Linked DNA regions of Saccharomyces cerevisiae S288C. The protein of the gene in region 1 binds, or shares a complex with, the protein of each later gene. Each region holds a gene or a part of one and is shown on either strand. Other genes may lie near its edges. The genes, in order: NUP85, SEH1, NUP42 and POM152. A codon is read from its position in the direction of its gene.

Region 1 (4,782 bases):
ATTAAAGAAGAAATTTGTTCTCTTGTAAAGTTGTTGTTTACTAATGTTGCAAATTTGGACACAACAGAGTATGATAAGTTTGACTTTCTTTCTTCGTCAAGGATTTCAAAGTGCCTCATGAATTTTTTTTTTGCATCAGAAAGATCGAACGAAATATATTCTCTCAATTTGAAGCAATAAAAGAACAGTTCTTCAACATCAGCCGATGTAGTATCAAAAATATTAGAAGATAACACGTAATCGATTTTTTCTAGTTCCTCTGCAGGGACAATATCATCGTAGACTTCCATTATATGATACTTTAGGTCCCATTGAAGACTGTTATTAAATGATTCCAAAGTAAATACTTGAGATAAAATAGGCTTTACCTCATCGAGAGTTGCGCGCGATGCGCCCTCTGATAGTCCCTCCAAGCATATGCGTATTAAATATAAAGGAACCCTGTTGGTGGAATCGTGATTGACTTGGTCAAGTAAAGCTTGCAATAGATTTTTCCATTGTAAAGAAGATAAAGTGAACAATTGCTTCGTTATAGACTTGACATATGCAGGATGATTTATCAAAAAATAGGAATCGGGTCCTTTTCTGGAACAGTACTCATTTATTTTGGCAAAAAAATCTGATAATTCCCTTGCGTTAGCGTGTGATTGGATTATTAAATCCCAAATATGAGAGGAAAAGAGAGGATCGTTCAAATTTTCGAGCTGAATCAATTCAAGTAACCGAAAAATATGTTTAATAGCAACCTCGATATCCAATTTAAGGATAATTGGTATTAATGATAACACTCCAGATTCATCAGTCGACGCTAACATTTCAAGCAATAATGCTTCAAGGAACTCTTGAGATACGGTTTTCTTCGATTCCGATAAAAGATTCAGAAATCTGCATTCTAAACTAGGTTTCTTGGCACCTAAAATTGTAAAGATGACTTCTAGTTGAGCAAAATTGTCTTTTGATAAGAAAGTGACGAAAGTGGCAAAATAATAATAAGCCATATCGTCGGTAATTTCGGACGCATTCTCTTGGACAAACTTTTTATTTAATTTCATGTAATCTATGCGTGGTTGTAAAAGGAACTTTCCCATAAAATGAGATAGACGAATGAAGGATTGGTTTGAAGATGCAGAATTTTTGGTCTGTGCGAAATATCTTAAACTTGGTAGTAGCATATGCTTGCAGTAACAAGTAGCAATTTTGTTATCCGTTGTAGTAATATTGTCAACATGAGTTAGATTGCAGGCATCTTGCAAGTATGAAAGCGCAAAGTCAGTCGTCGGGCACGAACTTAATCCATTTATGGCATGTTCTAAAAGTTGAAAAGACTCTTCAACAGAAAAATTGACAATCAAGTAGTCATTAATCGCAAAAAATGCTTTTATAAACGAAACGCTACGTGTAAGTAATTTGTCTTTAGGCCAAAGGAAAAATGTTCTTATCATTACAGGCACAGTCTTCAATTTTTTGAGTAGTTTTTTTATCGAAATTGGATCATTAATAGCATCTAATAATCTCGTGAAAATTATCCAAGTATGTTCACTGGTCTTAAAATCATCCAAATTTCCATTGTTGAGCCTATCAATGAGTAAATCTAAGACGAAAATTTCTTTTTTTGGAAAGTAGGTTTCTAATTTATCAAATTTTGAAACTATCTCGGCAATTTGATGGGGTTTTGTGCTCGTCGAACGTAGTAATTTCGACAAATCTTGGGCATTGTCTGGGATAGATAGTTCTTCTGTAAGATCACCCATATTATCAAAAAGTGCAGTATACTCTCTGTTTTTCCAAAGATAATTGATGGCAAGCTAAATCTTAGACAGAGATGTTCCTATGCTAGTAAACAATTCTGTAGTTGTGACCAAGTGCCCTCTTAGCGATCATTTTGAGATGAGCTAAGTGAAATTTTTCAGATCGCGCACGACGGAGAGGTTTTTTAGTTGGATGGAAGTCAAGCCTTGTACAAATTGTAGTTGTATAGAAAACATTGAACTTACGGTCTTGAGTTGAGTCAATAAGCGTGAGCCAGAACGCAATTATCAGATATGACAATCGATGATTCAAATCGATTACTTATGGACGTCGATCAATTTGATTTTTTGGACGACGGAACGGCGCAACTTAGTAATAACAAGACCGATGAAGAAGAACAACTATATAAAAGGGACCCAGTCAGCGGGGCTATCCTGGTCCCTATGACTGTAAATGATCAACCGATTGAAAAAAATGGCGACAAGATGCCTTTAAAGTTCAAGCTGGGGCCACTTTCTTACCAAAATATGGCATTCATAACTGCAAAAGATAAATATAAGCTTTATCCTGTTAGAATTCCTAGATTAGATACCAGCAAAGAGTTTTCTGCATACGTATCAGGTTTATTTGAAATTTACCGTGATTTAGGTGATGACAGAGTGTTTAATGTACCAACGATTGGAGTTGTTAATTCTAATTTCGCGAAGGAGCATAATGCAACAGTAAATCTGGCCATGGAGGCGATTCTGAATGAATTGGAAGTGTTTATTGGTAGAGTCAAGGATCAGGATGGAAGAGTGAACCGATTTTATGAGTTGGAAGAATCTTTAACCGTTTTAAACTGTCTGAGGACAATGTACTTCATATTAGATGGTCAGGATGTAGAGGAGAACAGATCAGAGTTTATTGAGTCATTGCTAAACTGGATTAATAGATCAGACGGTGAACCAGATGAAGAATATATTGAACAAGTGTTTTCAGTGAAGGATTCTACAGCAGGTAAAAAAGTGTTCGAAACACAATATTTCTGGAAGCTTTTGAATCAGCTTGTTTTAAGAGGCCTGCTCTCCCAAGCTATAGGTTGCATTGAAAGATCAGATCTTTTACCATATTTGAGTGATACATGTGCCGTTTCATTTGATGCAGTAAGTGACTCCATCGAACTCCTGAAACAATATCCAAAAGATTCGTCCAGTACATTTAGAGAATGGAAAAATTTGGTGCTAAAATTAAGTCAAGCCTTTGGTAGTTCTGCTACTGATATTTCCGGTGAATTACGGGATTACATTGAAGATTTCTTGTTAGTAATTGGTGGAAATCAACGAAAAATTCTGCAGTATTCAAGGACGTGGTATGAGTCCTTTTGTGGGTTTTTATTATACTATATCCCCTCATTAGAACTATCAGCAGAATATTTACAAATGTCACTGGAAGCTAACGTCGTAGACATAACAAATGATTGGGAACAACCATGCGTCGACATCATTAGTGGTAAGATACACTCAATTTTACCGGTAATGGAATCTTTAGATAGTTGCACAGCAGCATTTACCGCTATGATTTGTGAAGCAAAAGGTTTGATAGAGAATATTTTTGAGGGTGAAAAAAATAGCGATGATTATAGTAATGAAGACAACGAAATGCTTGAAGATCTATTCTCTTATAGGAATGGTATGGCATCTTATATGCTAAATAGCTTCGCTTTTGAGTTGTGTTCACTGGGTGATAAGGAACTATGGCCCGTTGCCATTGGATTGATAGCCTTATCTGCAACAGGGACGAGAAGTGCAAAGAAAATGGTGATTGCAGAATTACTTCCACACTACCCATTTGTTACGAATGATGACATTGAATGGATGCTAAGTATATGTGTAGAATGGAGACTACCAGAAATAGCGAAGGAAATATACACCACGTTGGGTAATCAAATGTTATCGGCACACAACATAATTGAAAGTATCGCAAATTTTAGTAGGGCGGGCAAATATGAACTGGTAAAGTCATATTCGTGGCTATTATTTGAAGCTTCGTGCATGGAGGGCCAGAAGTTGGACGACCCTGTGTTGAATGCCATTGTGAGCAAAAACTCTCCTGCAGAGGATGACGTTATAATACCACAAGACATTTTAGATTGTGTAGTGACGAATTCTATGCGTCAAACTTTAGCGCCATATGCTGTTCTGTCACAATTCTATGAGCTGAGGGACAGAGAAGATTGGGGCCAAGCGCTGCGCCTATTGCTTTTGCTGATTGAATTCCCTTATTTACCAAAACATTACTTGGTTTTGCTTGTGGCGAAATTCCTGTACCCAATTTTCCTTTTAGATGATAAGAAGCTAATGGATGAAGATTCAGTGGCGACAGTCATTGAAGTTATAGAAACTAAATGGGATGACGCTGATGAAAAAAGTTCAAACTTATATGAAACCATTATTGAAGCAGATAAAAGCTTACCTAGTAGCATGGCAACACTTTTGAAAAATTTAAGAAAGAAACTAAATTTCAAATTATGTCAAGCGTTCATGTAAATCAGTATAGTAATGTCCTTCGGATGGTATATTAGGATATATGACGAAAATAAGTAAATTTAAACAACAATATATATTTATATTGATCTATTTTTCTATCACGTAAGTTGACATTTGTATTATACATTACATCACAATTAGTAATGGAAAGTGTTTGGAAAAAAAAGAAGATTATTTTGCCTTTCTTTTGAAAAAGCTTTCCAATGTTCCTTGCTTTTTTAACCTTTTATTCGATGACGGCGTTTCTTGCTTTTTTGAAGACGACAATGCCCTTTTTACCACGGGTGATGGCTTGCGTGGTGGTGTTGAAGTTGCGGGTCTCTTTGTCACAATATATCCATCCTCATCAATAAAAGAGGAGGGCTCTTCTTCAGATTTAGGTTCCTTTGAATGTTCTGTTTCAGAAGGCTTTGTTTGCTGTATTTTAGGTACATCCATAAGTGAATCTTCTGCTGTCGTTTCCAACAAGTCTTCTAAATCATCGTTGTTTTTGTCCTTATCGTTG
Region 2 (3,201 bases), on another chromosome or scaffold:
GAATTAACATGGATAAATACCATCCAGGTTATTTCGGTAAGGTTGGTATGAGATACTTCCACAAGCAACAAGCTCATTTCTGGAAGCCAGTCTTGAACTTGGACAAATTGTGGACATTGATCCCAGAAGACAAGAGAGACCAATACTTGAAATCTGCTTCTAAGGAAACTGCTCCAGTTATTGACACTTTGGCAGCCGGTTACGGTAAGATCTTGGGTAAGGGTAGAATTCCAAATGTTCCAGTTATCGTCAAAGCTAGATTCGTCTCCAAGTTGGCTGAAGAAAAAATCAGAGCTGCTGGTGGTGTTGTTGAATTGATCGCTTAAGCGCATCAACAAAAACTCTATGTATTTTCCAATAAATTATATATCTTCAGTTTAATCTAATTCAACATCTACTTCTGTATTATTTCTATCACCCATTTTCACCGTTTTTTCGTCTTGTCTATTTTGAAGTTACCAGTGGCAGATCCCAACGCTTTTATCGCTTTTTTAAAAGATTTTCAAAATCCATATATAAACATAGGGTCCAAAAAGAAAACAAATAACAAAACAAGAAAACCTATTCGAGGTAAAGACCAGGAAAAACAAAATGACTGCAGTTAACATCTGGAAGCCAGAAGATAATATACCTAGGGAGATTTTGGCAATTCTTTCGAAACCTCACCCAAATTATCAGTTAGCGTTTTTGAATATTATACAACTTTTGAAAACGCAAAGAAGAACTGGTTGGGTTGACCATGGTATTGACCCATGCGAAAGTATATCTGACCATATGTACAGAATGGGTTTAACTACCATGCTGATTACGGACAAGAATGTTGATCGTAACAAATGTATCAGAATCGCACTTGTTCACGATTTTGCGGAGTCATTAGTTGGTGATATTACACCTAATGACCCAATGACAAAGGAAGAGAAACATCGCAGAGAATTTGAAACTGTCAAGTATCTCTGTGAAAGCATAATAAGGCCCTGCAGTGAAAGCGCATCTAGGGAAATTCTTGATGACTGGTTAGCATACGAAAAGCAGACCTGTTTGGAAGGAAGATATGTCAAAGATATTGATAAGTATGAAATGTTGGTTCAATGTTTTGAGTACGAACAAAAGTATAATGGCAAGAAGGATTTGAAACAATTTTTGGGAGCCATCAATGATATAAAAACTGATGAAGTTAAAAAATGGACACAATCTTTACTGGAAGATCGACAAGCCTTTTTCGACAGTTTGAAGGAGTAATAATGTGGCCTTTTGAAAGAAAAGTTAGTGCTTTTTTTTCTTTTCTCAAACCTTCACCTGGTGGTGCGTATCATTTATAATAACATCTTGATGCTTTTCAACGAGATAGTGCCCATTTTATTTTGCATGTATTATACTTCCAGCACCCGGTGTGCATTATATGTAACTTTAGAAATAATCTTTTGTATATTATTCGCGATTGAATGTGCGTGCTGCATTATCAACCAAGTTTTAATATATCTGTTTCTCTTATTTATTGTTAGTTAAGTCTTCGGCAAAACGATGGAAAAAATCATGAACTGAATAGAGACAAGTAAACCAAATTATAAACAAGGTTTCCCTTCTGAAGAGATACTAAGGAAGAAGAAGAACGACCCAATAATATTTCTGAATATGCAACCATTTGATAGTGGGCATGATGATTTAGTTCATGATGTCGTTTATGACTTTTACGGAAGACATGTGGCAACATGCTCTTCTGATCAACATATTAAAGTTTTTAAATTAGACAAGGACACGAGTAATTGGGAACTCAGTGACTCATGGAGAGCTCACGACAGTAGTATCGTGGCCATTGATTGGGCCAGTCCAGAATATGGGCGCATCATTGCTTCAGCCTCTTACGATAAGACGGTAAAATTATGGGAAGAAGATCCCGACCAAGAAGAATGCTCTGGCCGTCGTTGGAACAAGCTGTGTACCCTGAATGATTCCAAAGGATCACTTTATAGTGTAAAATTTGCGCCAGCGCATTTGGGCTTAAAATTAGCTTGTTTGGGTAACGATGGAATCCTCAGACTTTATGATGCCTTAGAACCTTCTGACCTAAGGTCATGGACACTGACTTCTGAGATGAAAGTGCTATCTATACCACCAGCAAATCATTTACAGTCTGATTTTTGTCTCTCTTGGTGTCCTTCGAGATTTTCTCCTGAAAAGCTCGCAGTCTCTGCATTGGAACAAGCGATTATATACCAAAGGGGTAAAGACGGTAAACTTCACGTTGCAGCAAAACTTCCCGGTCATAAAAGTTTAATAAGAAGTATCAGCTGGGCTCCTTCCATTGGTAGATGGTATCAACTCATTGCAACAGGTTGCAAAGATGGTAGAATTAGAATTTTCAAAATCACAGAAAAACTAAGTCCCCTGGCCTCAGAGGAGTCTTTAACTAACTCAAATATGTTTGATAATAGTGCTGATGTTGACATGGATGCACAGGGCAGATCAGACTCAAATACCGAAGAGAAAGCTGAGCTACAATCAAACTTGCAAGTTGAACTTCTAAGCGAGCATGATGACCATAATGGCGAAGTTTGGTCCGTGTCTTGGAATTTAACGGGTACAATCTTAAGCAGTGCTGGGGATGATGGGAAGGTACGTTTATGGAAAGCCACTTATTCAAATGAATTTAAGTGTATGTCAGTAATTACTGCCCAACAATAAATAAGAATATATGTATACATAACATTATATATTGGTACTTTATACGTGTGCATTATTCTGTATAATACGAGGCAACAGATGAATCAAGAAAGATGATGCTTTTAAAAAGCTCTTACAAATATAATGATATTACATCAAATGATATTATTATTCTTGATATTGGGTATTCTTTCGAATTATATCAAGCTTCCCTTCCCTCGCCTTTTCGCCTGGAAATTTTTCAATGCCGAGATTAAAAAATTTGTCAATGAAAATGCATTCTACTACTTAATAAAGAGGTGATGAGCTTATAAGCCAACTTCTTTTAAACACAAAACTAAATCTGATATTGAGGACCCCCACCAACTATGCCACCAAAAGAAGCTCCCAAGAAATGGAAGGCGCCAAAAGGGCCAAAACCTACCCACCGTAAAAATAAAAATAAGCTTGAATTAGGCAGAGCTATTAAATATGCACGTCAAAAAGAAAATGCCATCGAGTATTTACCTGATGGTGAAATGAGGTTCACTACCGATAAGC
Region 3 (3,523 bases), on another chromosome or scaffold:
CCAGAAGTGGGAAAGAAGGATCTTCTGTGCTATTCATTTGTAAAGATGAATTGCCATTTGTTAGAGAGTTGGAAGATGCAAAAAATATAGTCATTGCCAAACAAGAAAAATATGAGCCCAGTGAAGAAATAAAATCTGAGGTCCTAGAGGCAGTGACCGAAGAACCGGAAGACATATCAGATATTGTAATAAGTTTAATCTCATCCTACAGATCCTGTATCAAGGAATACAGGTTTTCTGAAAGGCGCATACTTCCTGAAATTGCTTCCACTTATGGTGTACTGTTAAATGATCCTCAATTAAAGATTCCAGTATCCAGAAGGTTTTTAGATAAATTAGGTTTGAGCCGTAGTCCAATTGGTAAGGCAATGTTTGAAATTAGAGACTATAGTAGTAGAGATGGAAATAACAAGTCCTACGATTATGATGATGATTCAGAAATTTCTTTCAGAGGCAACAAAAACTATAATAATAGGAGCCAAAATAGAGATTACGATGACGAACCGTTTAGACGCAGCAACAACAATAGACGCTCATTCTCCCGTAGTAATGATAAAAATAATTACTCCAGTAGAAACAGCAACATATATTAGAAAAGATAAAAAAGGAGGACCAAGAGATGTGGGTTGTATTTTAAATAACAATTCCTCTATTAAGACGCCTGTATTTTAGACCCCATCTTGATTCAATACTTTCACGTGTAAATACCTAGTATATAAATATTAAACAAAAATTTTTTTTCTTCTCCTATTCTCTTAAAATGATAACTATACGAAGATCCTACTGGTATATTTATTCGTCAATGCTTATTTACGACCGGTACCTCCATTCTTACTTTCGCTCTTCCTCCTCTCAAAGGAAAAGTAATTCTAACATTGTAATTCTTATTTAAACGGATGGAAGAAAGCTTTTGAGAATTTACTTGAAAAGTCAGGGTGTCTTAGGCGATTGATCACGGACATAGCCATATTACGAAAACTTCATTCTGAATATTGCCAACGAGACAATCGTGGGCTTGGTAATCGTTGAAAAATTTTCACATATTTTATGAACAGCTGAGCCTATTAACAATGAAAATAGTCTATACGATAGTCCAGAACTGAATAACAGTGTCAATCACTTTTTTTTTTATGATTAAATCCTAGTTAAAGTGCCGCTCTGCGAAAGAAAAATCAATAAATACCATTTGTTAGTGATCTAGCAATAATATCAATGACATCTTGTCTTATCTTAAAAATAAACAAAAAATTCTTTACAGTGTACTGAGCATTAATCTGGCTACGGCCTGGAGGGAAATTATGTCTTATACGAATTTTGCTCCGGCAATTCTATTTACGCTGTTTAGCTTATCATGCGATTTCAACCTTCTTTATATAGTAAATTAGCTTCGAAATAAAAGTATTCGCGAGAGGACAAGACATGAAACCTAAACCACGACGCTGAAGGTAACGACATCATAATACGTTTCAAAGGGCTAACCTTAATATACTGACATCTAGAAATATATTAATTCTGCATATCAAGAAACACGCCGACTGAGGGTGCAAGGTATTTGAAAAAAAATAGTGAATCAATAGATGAGCGCACAATGTTTAAAGTACTATAACACTGAACTGTTGTACTTTAACGCAAAAGCTCATCAAGCTATCATTAAATTTCGACCCGAGCAACGACTCAACTGTAATGTCAGCTTTCGGTAACCCATTCACGTCGGGTGCTAAGCCTAATCTTTCTAATACAAGTGGTATCAACCCTTTCACAAATAATGCTGCTAGTACCAATAACATGGGAGGAAGTGCATTTGGAAGACCTAGTTTTGGAACAGCAAACACAATGACAGGAGGAACCACCACTTCAGCATTTGGAATGCCCCAGTTTGGTACCAATACAGGCAATACTGGCAATACGTCAATTAGCGCTTTTGGGAACACCAGTAATGCGGCTAAACCGTCAGCATTTGGAGCACCAGCATTTGGTTCTAGCGCCCCCATCAATGTTAATCCGCCTTCTACTACGTCAGCATTTGGAGCACCGTCATTTGGATCAACAGGTTTTGGTGCTATGGCGGCGACAAGTAATCCTTTTGGTAAAAGTCCTGGCTCAATGGGCTCTGCATTTGGTCAACCAGCTTTTGGAGCGAACAAAACTGCTATCCCTTCTAGTTCGGTTAGTAATAGTAATAACTCCGCATTTGGTGCTGCGTCAAACACGCCCTTGACCACAACTTCTCCTTTTGGTTCACTGCAACAAAACGCATCACAAAATGCATCATCTACATCGTCAGCGTTTGGCAAACCGACTTTCGGCGCAGCTACTAATACCCAGTCGCCATTTGGTACTATTCAAAATACAAGTACAAGCAGTGGGACAGGAGTATCCCCATTTGGCACATTTGGAACTAATAGTAATAACAAATCACCTTTTAGTAATCTACAGAGCGGAGCAGGCGCTGGTTCTTCGCCGTTTGGTACTACAACCTCCAAAGCTAACAACAACAATAACGTGGGCAGTAGCGCATTCGGAACGACGAATAATCAATCTCCTTTTAGCGGAGGTTCTGGGGGCACCTTTGGTTCTGCTTCTAACCTCAATAAAAATACCAATGGCAACTTTCAATCTTCTTTTGGTAATAAAGGGTTTTCATTCGGAATTACACCACAAAACGATGCCAACAAAGTCTCGCAATCGAACCCTTCATTTGGGCAAACAATGCCAAACACAGATCCGAACATAAGTTTGAAGAGCAATGGTAACGCAACCTCTTTTGGATTTGGACAACAACAGATGAATGCTACTAATGTCAACGCTAATACGGCCACCGGAAAAATTAGATTTGTTCAAGGGTTATCTTCTGAAAAGGACGGTATTCTAGAATTGGCCGATCTCGCAGAGGAAACACTGAAAATATTCAGAGCAAACAAGTTTGAACTAGGCCTTGTCCCTGATATACCTCCACCACCTGCATTGGTTGCATAGTAAGGTCAAAGAAAAACATACAAAATGGTAACTTAAACAATATATATGAATATATATATATATCTAATGAAAAATGCATTAATTTTATCTCCAACCTTTTTTGGTAGGACAAATACTTTCTATAATAATGAGGTAACATGCTGACAATCTCCCAGTACAACTAGGTCTACAAATTTCAAAGAGTCTAGCACATTCTTAGGCGGCATACTGGTGTTTAAATATAACACAATACCCCTGTTTGCATGGACTTTGGCCGCAAACTGCCTGCAAATATTTTTCACTCCGGGAATCTTCAAACTCGTTCCAACAATAATCAAACAATCAATTCTTTTCTTTAAGTCATTATTGGCAATTTCACCGATAAAATCACCTTCAGGGTGGACCTCATTGTATAAAATTACTCTTGGACGCAACTTGCCCACACCAGTAGATCTTAAGCCTGCCATTTTTCTAACTGTTTCATATTCTTCACATTGTGGACATGACGGTATGATTTCAGTCCGAGAATCAAATTTGTCGTCGCATTTGAACAGTTCAGGGTCAAAAG
Region 4 (6,211 bases), on another chromosome or scaffold:
GGGATAGTCTTCCTTCAGTTTTTTAAAAACGTGTGGAAAATTGTTTGTTAAAGTCGAAGGATTCGCCTTGATACCATATTTACGCCCAACAATGCAGTATTGTTCCATGACGGGAAGTTTTGTGGCGTATAGTGTATTATATGCGTCGAAAGTAATAATTAGTGGCCTTGCCACCCTATGAACTTCAGACCACGCATTTATAGGTATTCTTTTCGGATAGGTCATTGAGCCAATTTCTGTGGATGTTCAAAAGTCTGCTTTTAACACACCTCTATAGACCGTAAAGGACAAAGGTCTCAGCGCTCTCTTTTTCTATTCATTCACCTACACTCTTTCGAGTTACTATGAGCGAAGATAATTGAATCGAGCGTCTTGATAATTTTGAAGAAAAAGAACAACAAACAATACAGGCGTCTTTTTCGCTTTCTTAAGTATTTTAATACTGATGTACAGAGATATATTATACATTACAATTGTACAAAAATATTGCGGGAAAGAAAAATTTCATCAGACTTTCTTGTAATATTTAGTTATTGAAAAAAAGATCATTTTTGGCAAAACAATAAGCATCTGTAATTTCAATCGCCTCGTAGGTACCTTGCAAGCTTGTAATTACCTTGTATTCATGAGAATATATATCAGTGACTTTATGCGTCTCAACAACCTGCGACCTCCTTTTGCCGTGTTTTCCATCAGTCTCTTCTGTCCTTACATAAGTTAGTGAGAATGGTGGGGTACCTTCAAACGAAAAGATTACTTCAGCCTGGTCACCTTCGCGGATATCCTCAGTAACGTAATTTCCTTGAGAAACAGTTACGGAAGGAATAGGATGTATGTTTAAAGATAAGTCATCAAATTCACTCTTTAATTTAGGGTTCGTAAAGTCGACAATGCATTGTGATGATGAATCCTGTAAAGAAGTGATAGATATAATGCCCGGTTCAGATGCTAATCTAACAAATTGGGAGCTGCGTTCCTTAGATTTTAGTGGAATACCGTTGAATTCATACTTAATCATGAAAGGTGCCACACCGTTTAATTGATATGCAACATAGTCCCCAACACAATACTCGGTAGAAGGATCTAATATATGTATCTTTGGTGCATCAGTAATTGACACAAGAATTTGATTACGCGGTCCAGATATGAGGCTGTTAACACAACCATTTGCGTCAACAACAGAATCAATAGTAATGGCATGGTTACCTAACTTCATCCCTTCATATAACTTTTCAAATGAAAAGTTCTCTGAGTCAATGTTGTCAATGGTATACTGATCTGTCCTACTGGTACTCTCGTGATAAACGCTAAAGGTGATTGAAAATGGGCTTTCGCCTTGTAAAAATTTCAAATTTATTGGTTCCAAAAATGAGATTTGATCTACATTAGCAGCACATGCACGCAAGGTTTTACCACCATCAGCAAAGGCGACGTCTGGAATGGGGTGCACTGTCTGTTTGATTATGAGCTCCGACTGATGTTCTCTAAAATGTATGTCGCTTTCACCATAATTGCCATCGAAGATGGCCTTAATAGTAGTTATGTACTCTCCAGGAATTTGATTAGGCAGTTTCAGTGAAGCGTATTTGGTTGCCACCTGAATTTTTTTTGTAGAAATATGACCGTTGGGTGCCATCAAATCATATTCTAATATGAATGGTGGAGAACCAAATAGAGCCAAATCAACCGTACCTTCCATCCCTTGACAGACTTCTTCTTTAGAGAATAAATTTTCCGTTACTTTTGTAATGTGATGATTGTCTTGAATTGCAAATTTTGGCTTCTCCAAGAAAGATACCTTATACAGACTGTTCCGGTAAATCACATTACCTTGGCAACTTGAGTCACGAATATCGACCAATTGGTAAAGCCCTTCTTTACTTACTTTCAAAGCGGGCTTATAACTATTCTGAAATTTGTTTTCAAATTCTTTCACAATGTTTCCATCGTAATCCATGTGTTTAAACTTAACGGTGAATGGCCCCTCTCCACTTAATTTGAGCGGAATTTCAGTGACAGAACCGTGCTTAATTTTAGCTTCTTTGATAGGTTCAAAAAAATTGAATGCAGCAGATGGAATATCTCTCCTCACCTGTATTTTAGCATCTGGTTGGCTGAGTCCAACTACACAGCCGGTAGAATCCTTGATAGAAACCAAAGATAGAATATAATCACCACCAGTAGTAAAGACTGGTGTTTTAATGACATATTCGTTGGTTTTTATTTCTTTAATTTCAAAAGTTTTCCTCTTGCTAGAAAAAGTTTCAATGATATCATATGTTAACGTAAAAGGGCCTTGGCCTTTTAGTGCTACTGGGACACTGCTGTGGTCACCCAAACAGAGTTTCAAATCATGGTGTAATTTTAGTGATGCGCTTGGTTTCACCCTCATTGATGTCTTGAAAGTATATTCTTTTACAGGTTCCAATTTGATTGGTTCAGTGAATAATTTATTAGAAACAGTATCAAACACGATTTCATAGTTACCTTCTTTAGGTGGACTATAGCTGAAGCGATTTCTCGTACCTTCAGAGGTGTATCTCTTTGCATCATATAACTTTCTTTCACCGTTTTCAAGCTTATAGATTTTAGTGTTATAATAGTATGGTGGAGCCCCAGTAAAAGATAGTTCAAAGTTTAGACCAACCTGTCCCACACACTGGTCCAATATTGGAAATGATTTAACTTCCATAGTAGGTGCAACTGGCATAGTTACAAGAACGTTTGATTTACCCACAATTTCACCTGGACAAAACTTAGATTCAATATATTCTAAGTTATATGACCCCGGAAGATCCGCTTGCAACACTTTGGTCAAAGAATCTGTAGTAACATTCATTATCTTTTTCGACTTGTCTTGTGCATCAGTATAGGATAGGCTAATAACATATGGAATGTCTGAAATCCAGTTTTTGATTTCTTCAAACACGATGGCAATAGACCTTTTTGTGGGTGACTTTGGATCAAATCTTTCTTCTAGCGCTGCACGTGGAACCTCATGAACATTGAAATTATAAGATAGATCATAGCGCTTTTTTAATTCTTCAGGGAGAGATGTAAAATCCACGACATTTCCCAGACCATCAGTTATTTTATCAATTTTATATGCAAATTTGCCGTCCTGGGTAATGGAAGAGTCTAAATTAATATTAACAGGTTGGTTTCTTCCCCATTTCAAATCGTTTAGTTCTCCTTGAGTAAAACTTTGTTTGGATTTGCTTGACTGCAAAGGAGACTCAAAATATTCTGGTTGCAAGCTGGAGTCTACATATGAAAAAGTTTGACCATTAACGATCTTAGAGTATGCTAATTTCATTGGGGGCACACCTTGAATTTCAAAAGAAACATTATCTGAATCGCCAATACATCTATCATTGCTTCCAGTTCCAGTAATAGATGCAATTGGACAGTAGGGTACAACCAAGTGTGACTGATGGATCTTTAAATTCAGTTTTTTTGAATCAACAATTTTTTTGATTTGATAAAAGCCAATATCTTGAAGAGTTACAGCCAAATAACGAATTGTACTGCCTTCTTCAAAATCGTTTGAATGTGACTTTAGAACTGACTGATCTTTTTTTAAAAAGGATTTGGGGTTATCGATGATTTTGAAGTCTTTCTTACTCAAAGACCGTAACTCTACCGAATTTGTGTAAAGATCTCTATATTCCAACTCGATATATTCAATCTCTTCAGTTGAGTTTATTCTGATGGGTACGTCAATTGAGTTAATTTTAAAAAGATTGGTATCCATGGGCAAACAATATGATTCATGAAGAGGATTAAACATAGCTGTGTTTTCAGGTAGGATCTTGATTGTTAGAGCACCCTTAAAATGAGCGGAAGAATCAAAAATACGATGATGGTTAATGGCTGAACCTGTTACACTTAATTCTTTCGTATAAAGTTTTCTCCATGTGGTCATAATTAATGAAATCAAAACGAACTCGTGATCGCTTGATATGAAAATGTTCAATAGTAGCATAGCTAAAATCTGGAGATAAACAACCCATGGCTTAAAAGTCAACCTAGGAATGTTAAAGGATGGTAAAACATACAGGAAGAAGGAATCTATAATGAAATACTTGGATATGAAATTAAATCGATAGTTCTTAAACAGTAAACCCGAAAGCGGTAACCCCGATTTAAGTATTACCAGGTCATATATTTTATAACATTGAATTATTAAAAACAATATCACCGCAAATGTCCTTTGTTTGGAAATTTCTAAAACATCGGTTGATATTAGAGGCAGTGAATAAATGTCTACCTTTTTATCACCATTAATGTAGCGGTCTTTGCTGTCACGTTCAGATATCCTTGATTTTTCATCGCTTATGTTACTTTCAGTACTTTTAAAGCTCCTCGAGCGTAAAGGTCGGATTTTCTCAGCGGGCTCATCGTCACTATATTGGAAGCGTCGTGTTGTGTTTACATTAGGACGACTGCTATAAGATGGACGTGGTGATCCTGACACAGAACTGCCCATCCAATGGTTCCCTCGTGGAGTATCATTAAACACGTTATATCTGTGCTCCATTATACAAGCCTCCTGATAAACGTATCTGGTATGATAAATCTATAATCCGTTTTGAATTGGTTCGATGAGTTTCCTCTTATTATGTCTTAAGCAATTCTTACTTTTGTTCAATAAAAAAAACGTATAAAGTTATTGACTACGTATATAATGACATAAAATACATAGTGCTATAGAACATAATGTTTTGAATTATGAAGGAAGTTAACATTAAGTGGTTGCAATTATTTGATGCCCTAGATAGGAATAATGTATTCTTCCTATATGTTCTTATATAATGAAACTCTATTTCTATAATACCAGCGCATTATTTTTTTTCTTTCTCTTCACCTGTGATGGTCTGGAAGCCCTTTCTGGTGATAAACTTAATGACTGTCCACTGGCCTTTTTGCTTCTTCTGATGCACTGCTATAGGATTTAAATCCCAACCAATCTTGAGATCGTTGTCAACTGTGGATCCAAATCTAGGAACCACATAACAATACCGTTCCGTAGGTGATAAATTAACGGTCTTCAAGCCTTGACCAGTCAGAGGTTTACTGTATGTCAAAAGAAGTCCCTTTCTTGCTATGTTCGCTAAGGGGGTGCTTGCGATGTCACATAAAGTATTCATCCTTGTTTTATTATTTCCACCAAGGTGCAAGGAATAATAGAGCATGTATTTGGGTGGCATTTCCCCCAAATTATTTAAAATTGAAGTCGGATGGATATAGACAAAGCAGTCCTCGATATTTGGTGTTCTCGTGGCCAAAACAGGAATATAAGGAATGTTGATTATGGAAGTTCTGTTGGTTATCTTAGCATCATCTGGAAATAAAACATCTGCTCTTACGGCAACATGGTCGACAAAACCAGCGCAAATCATTTGTTTTAAAAGTTTTATTTGTATGACGCTTGGAATATCACTTTTCAAGTCTTCATTCCTAATTACTACGGCAATATTTTCTTTTGAAGTGTTGGACTTGATGATATACATTAACTGCTTCCTCAATTTTACTATTTCTTCCATTAGTTTGCCTCTTAAAAAATTTTTCTTCATGAATATTTCTTTTTGTTCCTTTGGAACGTAGTCCATTGCACTTACAACACTTAATAAACGGAATACGTCACTAAATTTGTCTAATTTACTAAACTGACTCCTGCTTTTATAGAATTTACTGCGCAATTCCTTTTTCAGTTCAGGATCCATACCTGGTGTTGATTCATCGTGCTCTCTAATCTTATCATCTAGATTTTCATCTGGATTTGGTTTTCTAGAAATTTCGTTTATTCCCAACTCAAATTCATTGATAAAAGGATCTCCCACCGAAAGGGCACTAACAATTGCTACAATATAAGGAAGGCAGGCTTTTTCGTCAGAAACAAGTAACATTTTGGAAAATCTGGGTGAAAGTGGGAACAGGCTCATTTTTTTACCATCTTCAGTAATCATCTCCTTATTATCAAGAGCACCTAAATATTGCAGTAATTGTATTGCCTTGGAAAGGGCAACTCTATCTGGAGGAGTTGGAAATGGAAAATTAATGATATTATGAATGGCCATGCTCTTCATTTGTAACACGATGCTCTCCACTGGCATTCTTAAGATTTCAGGTTTAGAGAACTGTTCGAAATCATGTTCAAAAACAGCAGACGAATATAAACGGTAACAATGGCCTGGTCCAGTACGACCTG

What was found.
Region 2: the proteins of NUP85 (region 1) and SEH1 are in contact, whole or in part, in a crystal structure (PDB 3F3P), measured with the Saccharomyces cerevisiae proteins. Residues at the interface, in NP_012576.1 of Saccharomyces cerevisiae: Ser44 (codon at 2,172), Gly45 (codon at 2,175), Ala46 (codon at 2,178), Ile47 (codon at 2,181), Leu48 (codon at 2,184), Val49 (codon at 2,187), Pro50 (codon at 2,190), Met51 (codon at 2,193), Thr52 (codon at 2,196), Asp55 (codon at 2,205), Gln56 (codon at 2,208), Pro57 (codon at 2,211), Ile58 (codon at 2,214), Glu59 (codon at 2,217), Lys60 (codon at 2,220), Lys64 (codon at 2,232), Met65 (codon at 2,235), Pro66 (codon at 2,238), Leu67 (codon at 2,241), Lys68 (codon at 2,244), Phe69 (codon at 2,247), Lys70 (codon at 2,250), Leu71 (codon at 2,253), Gly72 (codon at 2,256), Pro73 (codon at 2,259), Leu74 (codon at 2,262), Tyr76 (codon at 2,268), Gln77 (codon at 2,271), Asn78 (codon at 2,274), Met79 (codon at 2,277); in NP_011415.1 of Saccharomyces cerevisiae: Met1 (codon at 1,633), Gln2 (codon at 1,636), Pro3 (codon at 1,639), Phe4 (codon at 1,642), Asp5 (codon at 1,645), Ser6 (codon at 1,648), Gly7 (codon at 1,651), His8 (codon at 1,654), Asp9 (codon at 1,657), Asp10 (codon at 1,660), Leu11 (codon at 1,663), Val12 (codon at 1,666), His13 (codon at 1,669), Asp14 (codon at 1,672), Val15 (codon at 1,675), Val16 (codon at 1,678), Tyr17 (codon at 1,681), Asp18 (codon at 1,684), Phe19 (codon at 1,687), Tyr20 (codon at 1,690), Gly21 (codon at 1,693), Arg22 (codon at 1,696), Val24 (codon at 1,702), Thr26 (codon at 1,708), Leu38 (codon at 1,744), Trp45 (codon at 1,765), Pro66 (codon at 1,828), Glu67 (codon at 1,831), Tyr68 (codon at 1,834), Gly69 (codon at 1,837).
Region 3: NUP85 (region 1) and NUP42 share a complex: the UniProt entries of both Saccharomyces cerevisiae proteins name them as parts of the nuclear pore complex.
Region 4: NUP85 (region 1) and POM152 share a complex: the UniProt entries of both Saccharomyces cerevisiae proteins name them as parts of the nuclear pore complex.

Annotation. Positions count from the first base shown.
Region 1 is NC_001142.9:512,013-516,794, forward strand, and holds NUP85 (Nup85p), read left to right. Parts: upstream 1-2,042; coding exon 2,043-4,277; downstream 4,278-4,782. Other genes in the region: ribosome biogenesis protein URB2, read right to left, coding at 1-1,751; DNA polymerase delta subunit POL32, read right to left, coding at 4,449-4,782. UniProt on the Saccharomyces cerevisiae protein: Functions as a component of the nuclear pore complex (NPC).
Region 2 is NC_001139.9:311,602-314,802, forward strand, and holds SEH1 (Seh1p), read left to right. Parts: upstream 1-1,632; coding exon 1,633-2,682; downstream 2,683-3,201. Other genes in the region: 60S ribosomal protein uL15 RPL28, read left to right, coding at 1-326; YGK1 (5'-deoxynucleotidase), read left to right, coding at 592-1,239; ribosome biogenesis GTPase LSG1, read left to right, coding at 3,030-3,201. UniProt on the Saccharomyces cerevisiae protein: Functions as a component of the nuclear pore complex (NPC).
Region 3 is NC_001136.10:843,022-846,544, reverse strand, and holds NUP42 (FG-nucleoporin NUP42), read left to right. Parts: upstream 1-1,683; coding exon 1,684-2,976; downstream 2,977-3,523. Other genes in the region: MSS116 (ATP-dependent RNA helicase), read left to right, coding at 1-593; NAD-dependent histone deacetylase HST4, read right to left, coding at 3,096-3,523. UniProt on the Saccharomyces cerevisiae protein: Functions as a component of the nuclear pore complex (NPC).
Region 4 is NC_001145.3:526,133-532,343, reverse strand, and holds POM152 (Pom152p), read right to left. Parts: upstream 4,541-6,211; coding exon 527-4,540; downstream 1-526. Other genes in the region: DPI35 (Dpi35p), read right to left, coding at 1-225; ATP-dependent RNA helicase ECM16, read right to left, coding at 4,845-6,211. UniProt on the Saccharomyces cerevisiae protein: Functions as a component of the nuclear pore complex (NPC).